Linked DNA regions of Caenorhabditis elegans. The protein of the gene in region 1 purifies or fractionates together with the protein of each later gene. This does not show direct contact. Each region holds a gene or a part of one and is shown on either strand. Other genes may lie near its edges. The genes, in order: grl-7 and F58B4.5.

Region 1 (4,535 bases):
GTAAATCACTTCAATTTTGTAGAAATTTAGAGCATTGATATGCATGTAGTTTGGTTTTTGCAAGAGTCAATTTTTTGGAAAATCTAAATTATAATGTTTGATTTTTTAATTTAGCACGTGGATTGTGCTGCTACTTTTTTTGCTATTTTGCCTCGACCCAAGCTAGGCAGACTAGGTGGGTACCAAAAATAATATGTTACTTTAAATTGCCACACTGTTTAGTTTTTAGTGCAAATAACTATCATATATGTAAATACTTAACTTTTTAATTTAAATAATTTCAAGAAGAAAAACGAAATATTTTTAGATTTCCGAGTTCAATCTTGTTCATCTGATAGAGCATTCACGTTGCAATGATCATTCGTACAAAGAAATGAAATTAATCATTAGTTGTGATCTACACTATTCTTCTAGCAAAAATCTAAACTTCCAGTTTCTTATTTTATTACTGTGTCTGAAACCTCAAAAAACTGATTTAAAAGTGATTCATGTTATCATTTTGTCAATAAAGAACAGCATTTTTCAGTTTCCATGTTATAATGCCAATACAAGAACCCGTTGTTGCCATCCACTATCATTCTAAAAGAGACGGTAAAATCAGATTATCTTGATCAAAAACAAATCCCGAATATTGGCGAATATTGCATATATACGTCTCTTAATTCATCGTCAACGTTAGCGAGATAAGAGAGCGGGATTGCGCAGGTGAAGCCGTCGACAGCATCATCGGGTTCTTTTTCCGAAAAAATCGAGAACAATGGAATAGTTGAAGAGAGAAGCTAGCAAGTTTTGGGGTGTGTGCCAGCGGCTACAATTGATAACACATTTTTGATGGTGGTTCGACCGTATAAAAGCTTTCAAGATTCACCTGAAACGAGATTCAATCTACGATGGTTTTTTTTTCCATTTTTCACGATTTGTTTTGTTTAATCGATATTTAATGGAATAATACAATGTAAAATACAGTATATAACCTTTTCAATTTAGTGTCTTAATTTAGCAATATAGTGTGAATTGGAATTTGTCTACATCCATTGACCATCTGATCTTCCTACAGAAACTTTCACTTATTGCTTTTGCATAAATTTCCAATTTCGGTTATTCTTATTAAACTTTGAATGGCAGTGTGACGTGGCGATAGGGCTATTAGAAAATTATGAAGACCGCTGAACAAACTTGTCTTATTCGTTGCCATTCATCATGAGTATAATGAGAAATTAATCATACTTCTATTGCATAACCGCCCATCAATTTGGATATGTCCACTTCCACACAATTTCTGACAATGTTCTCGTATTCAATCCTATTGACAATCCAGCCAAAAAACCGGACGCTCGCAGCTTATCACTATCAATCAAACCCGCCAAAGCATTTTCTACCCACCGCGCTAACCGATCGGTTCTCTTGTTTCACTAGTTTACAGGGTAAAGCATCTAAGCTTCTCTAGGCAGCTTCTGACCCAGATTCAAATCTACCTCACCGTGATTCCGCATAGCAATAGTTGTAAAAGTAATTGGCATTTGGGTTTTGATGCTTCTTCTCTCCACCTTCTTTTCATTCGGTCCTTCGTCATTTTCATTCACTGTTGATTCTATTTCCAGAATGCTATTCCGACTTGTCTCCACTCTCCTTCTTGCTCAAACCACATCAGCATTCTTCTTCGGAGGAGGTGGTGGAGGTTGTGGATGTCAGCAGGCGCCAGCTTGCGCTCCACATCCAGCTCCAGCTCCATGCTCTGGAGGTAACATCGTTCAAGGATACGTTGGTGCTCCACAGCAAGGAGGATATGCTGCTGCTCCACAATATCCACAACAGGGAGGATACGGAGGAGCTCAACAAGGCTTCCAAGCTGCCCCAGCTCCATACCAACCCCAAGGAGGATACCAAGCTGGTCCAGCACCAGTTCAAGGATATCAACCACAAGCTCAAGTCCCAGCTGGAGGATATCAAGCTCCAGTTCAACCAGCTCCGGGACCAGCTGAGGTTGCTCCAGCTCAAGTTCAAGCCGGAGGAAATTACCAAGATGCTCCAGCCCAAGTCGCGGAAGTTGCTACAGCTCAGGAATCGGCTCCACCACCATCAGAAGCTGCTTACACTGGGGTAATATTAAAATGCATTACATATTAATTCTTTACTTTTAATTTGCAGGAACAAGAAGTAGTAGCTTCCCTTGCCCGTGAAGAGCCAAACTACCAGGTATGATGCTTGCTTCTGCTTTCATTTTCTCTCAGCTTTTACCATTGAATGACTAATACTGATTTTAAGCTTAAAGCGTTTTGTATAGCCTGCATGCCTTTCATCTGCTAAAATTCACTCGCACCATGGTCTTATCGACAATTCCTTCTTTTTTATTTTTTTCGCAACTTTCTTGCATGCATTCACTTTCAGAACACTGGCACCAATGTGATCGAAGCGGCTCAGCACGCTTCCGAGCTTGGAAACCAGGTACGGAGGGTCTCATTAACATTGAGTACCTTTTACATGGCTTGTTACTAACACCAAATTTTGTTTCATTTCTTTGTAAGTAGGCAATTTGTGCAAAAATACGTATTTTGGAAATTATCAGAGTAGTCCCAATCAATCACTATAACGCACAAAAAATTGATTTATCGTAAAAAATATAAATATATTTCATAGTACGTAGGAACTCTTTTCTTATTTGATAATTTTTTTTTTTTTGGCTGTGGAAAACACTTTTATCTTCCTAAATATCCCTTGCAAATATTTATCAGTGCCACTAAAAATAAGGTTTCTTCTTATTCTCGATCCAGAAAAATGTGAAAATGTTTCCTGGAATCTTTTGATTTCAGGCCGCTGCCGCTGCCGCCAAGGTCGCAGAAGTCGTTGAAGAAGAAGAAGAGCCAATCAAAAAGAAAGACGAAGGAAAGACTACACATATGAAGACCGTTAAAGCTCCAGCTGCTGCTTCCTCAACCACTGCCGCTGCTGCCTCGACATCTACAGAATTTCCAGTTGGAGAAGAGATTGTTGCAGACACCAACGAAAAGGAAGTTGATATCAGTGAACTTCACCTTACCGATGACCCACTCTGCAACTCTGATGATTTGAGAAAGGTTGTTATCGATGTAAGTTTGTTTTCTATTTTTTGAAAATATGCACCATGAGGAAAGACAAAATTAGCAATTATAAAAAATTAATTTCATTTAAAAGTTTTCAATATCAATCAGGCAGTATTTCCTGGATATTAAATCGAATTCCAATCCCAAAACATCTTACTCAAAACAAATAATGATTCAATTTTTTAAATTTTTCGCAGGAACTCTACTATTTTACGATTAAAGTAAAATTCTGAATCAATATGATTCCTTCATGAGATTTCCAATAGAAATTTGAAACTCGCGAATTTGATAAATTTCTTCAAGCCATTCGTATTGCAGAACATCGATGACCAATTGAACAGCTCAAAGAGAATGATCCAATTGGCAGCTGAGGCCCAATTCGGTGGACGATTTGATGTGATTTGCGCAAATGGCGATTTTAGGTGAGGATAGATGGTGGTGTGGCGTAATTTTACGACCGGTCATAACTATTCATTCAATAGGTTAACATTTAATGTTGCAGCTATGTGACCAACACCGAGCTCTACTGCCAAGAGACCAAAGGGGATATCTCATGCTACACCTACCGTCAATTGTAAATATAGAAATCAAAGATTTCAAAAACAGTGTTCCAAGTGCAATATAGAAAGGAAATTGTTTCATTTTCTTCTCCTCTTTGTTATATTATTTCCTGGTTCGACTAATAATAAAGTATTCGCTTAATAAACAGGTTTTTCATCTTCCGTATTGGTATAAGTCAATTTAAAAGAAAGATTTATGGGATTAATGAAAATTTCTTGAATGGCTAAGTATGTACACATTGCATAATTTTTTATTTTGATTTTATTTTCGGCATACTTAAAATAGAAAAACAGGAAATACATGAAAAAGAGGATGAGGTGAAAATGCATAAAATAAGAGGAAAATCAAATCAACCAAAACTGATAAATTTTCTTTGAAAGCATTGATATTTGGGTGGTCGGAGTATTTTTTTGAATTTTTGAATTTTTTCTTGTTTAAAATGTTTTTTTGAGTCACAACTCCAATAATCGTAGAGCATCACCGTACAAATTGCGAAATCATTGAGAATCTGAAAACGCTTGGAGAAAAAAGGGAATTCAGGCTACACAACATAACTATGAAGAGGAAGATGTTTGAGGGTAATAATATGAAATTGAAAGATCCCTGAACTGATAGGTGGAGACGTGGACGTAGACATTCGAAGAAGCGGAAATCTGAAAGATATGACATGTGGCTTGAAACATTATACCGACGGATGGCTTACTGCCGCAGAAAAGCTAGATTAGATGGAGTCGGATTAGACGAAAGAAGACAGAAAATGGACATATGTTCGATTTGGGTTTTGGCAGGGAAACAAGGAGGTATACTAATGGAAAATATACAATTTGAAGTAAACCTACAAAGTCTATACGTCTTAAACTAGCGAAAATGTTAAGTATTATGAATATTCGTTAA
Region 2 (3,903 bases), 410 kb from region 1:
ACTCCACAGTTATATTGACAATCGGCGGTGGCTCAAATCCACTTCCTTCTTCCGTCAAAAGTTGGTCGTCCAAAGCACAAAAGCCCTGAAAATATTTTTTCAAGACAGAAAATGAGAAAACCGTCATCTATTCACTCACCAAGCAGACTACAGAAGCAAATAGTAGTATATAGGATGTAATCATTTCTGATTTATCAGAAATTTTGTTCGCTTTTATAGAAGCGTGTTCTGTTTACTATTGATTTATGTGAATAGACAGATTCATGAATTTGATTTCACTTTCAGAGCAAATATTGGCTAGAGTAGAGAAGTCAATATATTTTCAATAAAAGTCCATTATTAGCATCTCGTAAGAAAGCCATGACTATACATCAAACTGGTAATGTTTATAAAAGATATGTTGAGTAAGAGCTTTTGGAGCATTGCAAAGGTATTTCATTTTTAAAAAATTTATTTAGAAACATTTTGCTAACTTTGAACCACATACATTTGCATTTTTTCTTTTGCTTCCAGGCAACTTTTTGAAACTTATTTGAAACGTGTTAACAGAATTTCCAAGATGTCAGAAAGATCAACGTTTTGACTTTGCCATCCCATACTGAATCTGCATAAACTAAATTAATTTGGAACAAAAAATGAAAGATTGGGACTGAATTATTAATATATTAGTTTTGAATCCTATATTATTTTAGCTTTCTTCCTTCCAGGCGATTTTTTTCGTTAGATATTTTTCTTCGTTTCTTGTCAATCAATTTTATATAAAATTAACAAAATCGCGACATGGTTTGAGGACGTTTAAAGAATTTGTTCCTGATTGGGATTGTAATACGTTAGCTCAAACACCAATTCCAAGAGCTCACTGATGTTGGCGGTCTTGATATGTGAACTGAACCAAGAAAACAAAAAGACATCACCTGTTCTTTAGATGAAAAAGGAAAAACACAAGATATATCTTACTATTAGTCGGGGTGATTTTAAATCAAGGTTGTTTAATAATCTGCATTTCATTTTCAAGATTTCAGAAAACTAAATGCCTGAAGAAGTTCAAGTCTGCAAAGAACCTGAAAAAAATCCATTTTTCATACTTCAAAACTCAAATACTTGTTTCGTTTAGAATTTTATCTCGATTCAAATCATAAAGTTTTCGATAAATATTCATAATCGGTGAATATTAATTTCTGAAGCATTCCCTGTAGGAAATAAGTCACAAAGTGGAAGTGTGATCAGTGCAAGTTTCAATTGAAATTTAAGATAAACATGACAACGCATTTGTGCATGTTCTTTGATATGAAATCTCATAATTTGGTTTTTTTTTTCGTTTTGGAAATCGATTTTCTCGCTGTGATCGTCATGAAGTCAAACAACCCGGATGTTTTAAAGATGCACTTTCTCCGAAAATTCCAGATTTTTTTCGGTTCCAAACCACGGTTTGAATTGTGAAAATGGTTTGTGCATGGCTTTTAAAAAATCAAACATTTCTCAACAGATAAGGCGTACCCAATCAACCTATCGATGAAATGCTCGCGATAAGGCGGTCATGCACGTGCTTATAAAACAACAGAGACAGTGTAGTTTTCAGTTAAAACTTTTAAATCAGCATTTACATCATCTTTTTTCTTGAAAAGGCAGTTGTAATGTCGTTGTATACTGTTGCTGATGGACTTCTTGGAACTCATGTTACCTGGGAAGATGTGCTGGAAGAAATGCAAAAGGCATTGGATACAACTGCCACTTTTGGAGATGACAAAACTGCCACAAATATCAGTGATATGAAGGTATTTGATTCACTTTGTACTTATAATATTCGACGTTCACATTTTAGGGATTCATGTCCAAAATAGCTCTGGTCGAACCAAAGTGGGTAGGGGCTTCTGAAAACGAGGAACTGCCTGAAAAGTTTGTGGTCAAGATTTCATCTCAACTTCCATTCATTGAAATGACCAAGCTTATGGATTTTTCTTCCGGTGATGAGTTTTGGGATGATGCAAAACTGAAAGGAATGGGAGAAGTTACAAGATTGCTTCATAATAGAGAAGTTGCCACGTACAAGATTTTGATGAGAGAAAAGCATCCAAAGATTCCATTCACGAAGGTGAATAAATTGATTTTACTTGAATTTTTACCTGAAAAACTTTAGGTTTACGCATCAAAGCCATTTGACGACGAGAATAAATTGAAGGCTTATTTGATTTCCGAATATTATCCAAATATTCATCATATTGGAATGCATGAAAGTATTCCAGCTGAAGATCTGATTCCAGTTATTCATGCAATTGCTGCATTTTCTGCGATTGGTATGAAATTAAGTGAAGAGGAGACAAAATATGCTCGCGGAGCCGACTTTTTGGATATTGTTTTTGGACAATTCATGGATGAGAAGTCAATTGAAAGAATGAATGTACTGCTTAAAGCGTCATTCCCAGAAGAGTATTTGGAGAAAGTTGAGGAAATGCTGAAAATCTACAAAGACTATTATTTCCAACCGCAAATGATCAAAAATTTCAAAAATACATGCCAATTCTTTGGTTATAAACCAGTTCTCACCCATTCTGATTTGTGGAGCTCAAACTTTTTGTGTACTCGAGATGGAGAAAAAGTTACATTGAAAGCGATTATTGATTTCCAGGTTAATTTAGATTTTTAGAAGCTTATTTCCAGATTTTTGAATTTCAGACAGTTTCAATCACAACTCCAGCACAAGACGTTGGCCGATTGTTTGCATCATGCTTATCAACAAAAGATAGAAGAGAAAAGGCAGATTTCTTGTTGGAAGAATACTACAATACATTTGTAAATGAACTTGATGGAATGGATGTTCCATATACATTCCAACAACTTAAAGATAGTTATCAAGTTTACTTCCCACTAATGACTACAATGGTTCTTCCTGGAATTGCACCAATGCTCCAACATTCAAATGTAACTGAAGAATACAAAGACTCTGTATGTTTAAATGTTCTACTTCTACGTACTTATTGAGAAAGAAAAAATTTCAGATGAAACAAGTGGCACTAGACAAAATGATTGGACTTCTTGAAGATGTTATCACAACTCACGAGAGCAATATTAAAAACTTCCCAAAATATTTTGAATTCTAAGTTCAGCAATAAACAAACTGTTTTAATAAAAGTTTTATTTGTATTGTTTTTTTTTCAATTATAATATGCATCTAAACTCGATCTTCTTCCTCTTCATCGTTCCCGATAGTCTTTGTTCTATTGACAATAAAATCCTCAAGAGGCTTGTTTTTTGTTTCAGGAATCAAAAACTGAAACGAAAAAAAAATTTTAATTAGAGAAAATTCGCTCAACTTACTCTGAAAAATATGAAATCAGCCAATCCGATGGCTAAAAGTATGGCGTATGGCAAAACTGGAAAGTCAATACCAGTGTACAAGTTCTGAAAATCAAGCGTTGGTTTTAAGTTTTTGATGGTCATATTTTTATTCAAGATTTCAGGCAGACTTAGTGTTGTTCTTCAGAATTCTGGTCTTAATTTTAAATCTATTCTACAGTTGTTTGAAATTTAAAAAAAATCACCAAGTGGAACACATGGGGAGCAAAAACAATTCCAAATCTTGAGCAAAGCTGAGCAGTTGAATATGAAATTGATCGAATTGCAGTTGGCATCAACTCATTTGAAGCAATACTTGCAACAATAATTGCTTGAGAAGTCATAGCACACGATAACAATACTCCTATTCTGATCAGCACAGAAAATGTTGCAGTTGTATCGGTTAAACAAAATGCAATAATTGCAACAATTATGGAAATAGTAACCACGCTACAAATTCCATGACACATTTTTCTGTCAAATTTCTCAAATTTGTAATCCAAGAGTCCACTGAACAAGCTGAATGAGTAACGTAGAAGTCCAATGAGAATAGAGTTCATGTATATTGAA

What was found.
Region 2: the proteins of grl-7 (region 1) and F58B4.5 fractionate together in Caenorhabditis elegans (co-fractionation; one large-scale study listed by BioGRID). This does not show direct contact.

The regions. Positions count from the first base shown.
Region 1 is NC_003283.11:11,344,079-11,348,613, reverse strand, and holds grl-7 (Ground-like domain-containing protein), read left to right. Parts: upstream 1-1,601; 5' UTR 1,602-1,602; coding exon 1,603-2,100; intron 2,101-2,148; coding exon 2,149-2,196; intron 2,197-2,388; coding exon 2,389-2,445; intron 2,446-2,810; coding exon 2,811-3,086; intron 3,087-3,398; coding exon 3,399-3,502; intron 3,503-3,582; coding exon 3,583-3,658; 3' UTR 3,659-3,783; downstream 3,784-4,535.
Region 2 is NC_003283.11:10,931,106-10,935,008, forward strand, and holds F58B4.5 (CHK kinase-like domain-containing protein), read left to right. Parts: upstream 1-1,587; 5' UTR 1,588-1,634; coding exon 1,635-1,775; intron 1,776-1,822; coding exon 1,823-2,092; intron 2,093-2,137; coding exon 2,138-2,626; intron 2,627-2,673; coding exon 2,674-2,943; intron 2,944-2,996; coding exon 2,997-3,098; 3' UTR 3,099-3,140; downstream 3,141-3,903. Other genes in the region: scvp-1 (Secreted nematode Clade V Protein gene family), read right to left, coding at 1-85, 140-184; F17C11.12 (Major facilitator superfamily (MFS) profile domain-containing protein), read right to left, coding at 3,170-3,268, 3,316-3,399, 3,540-3,903.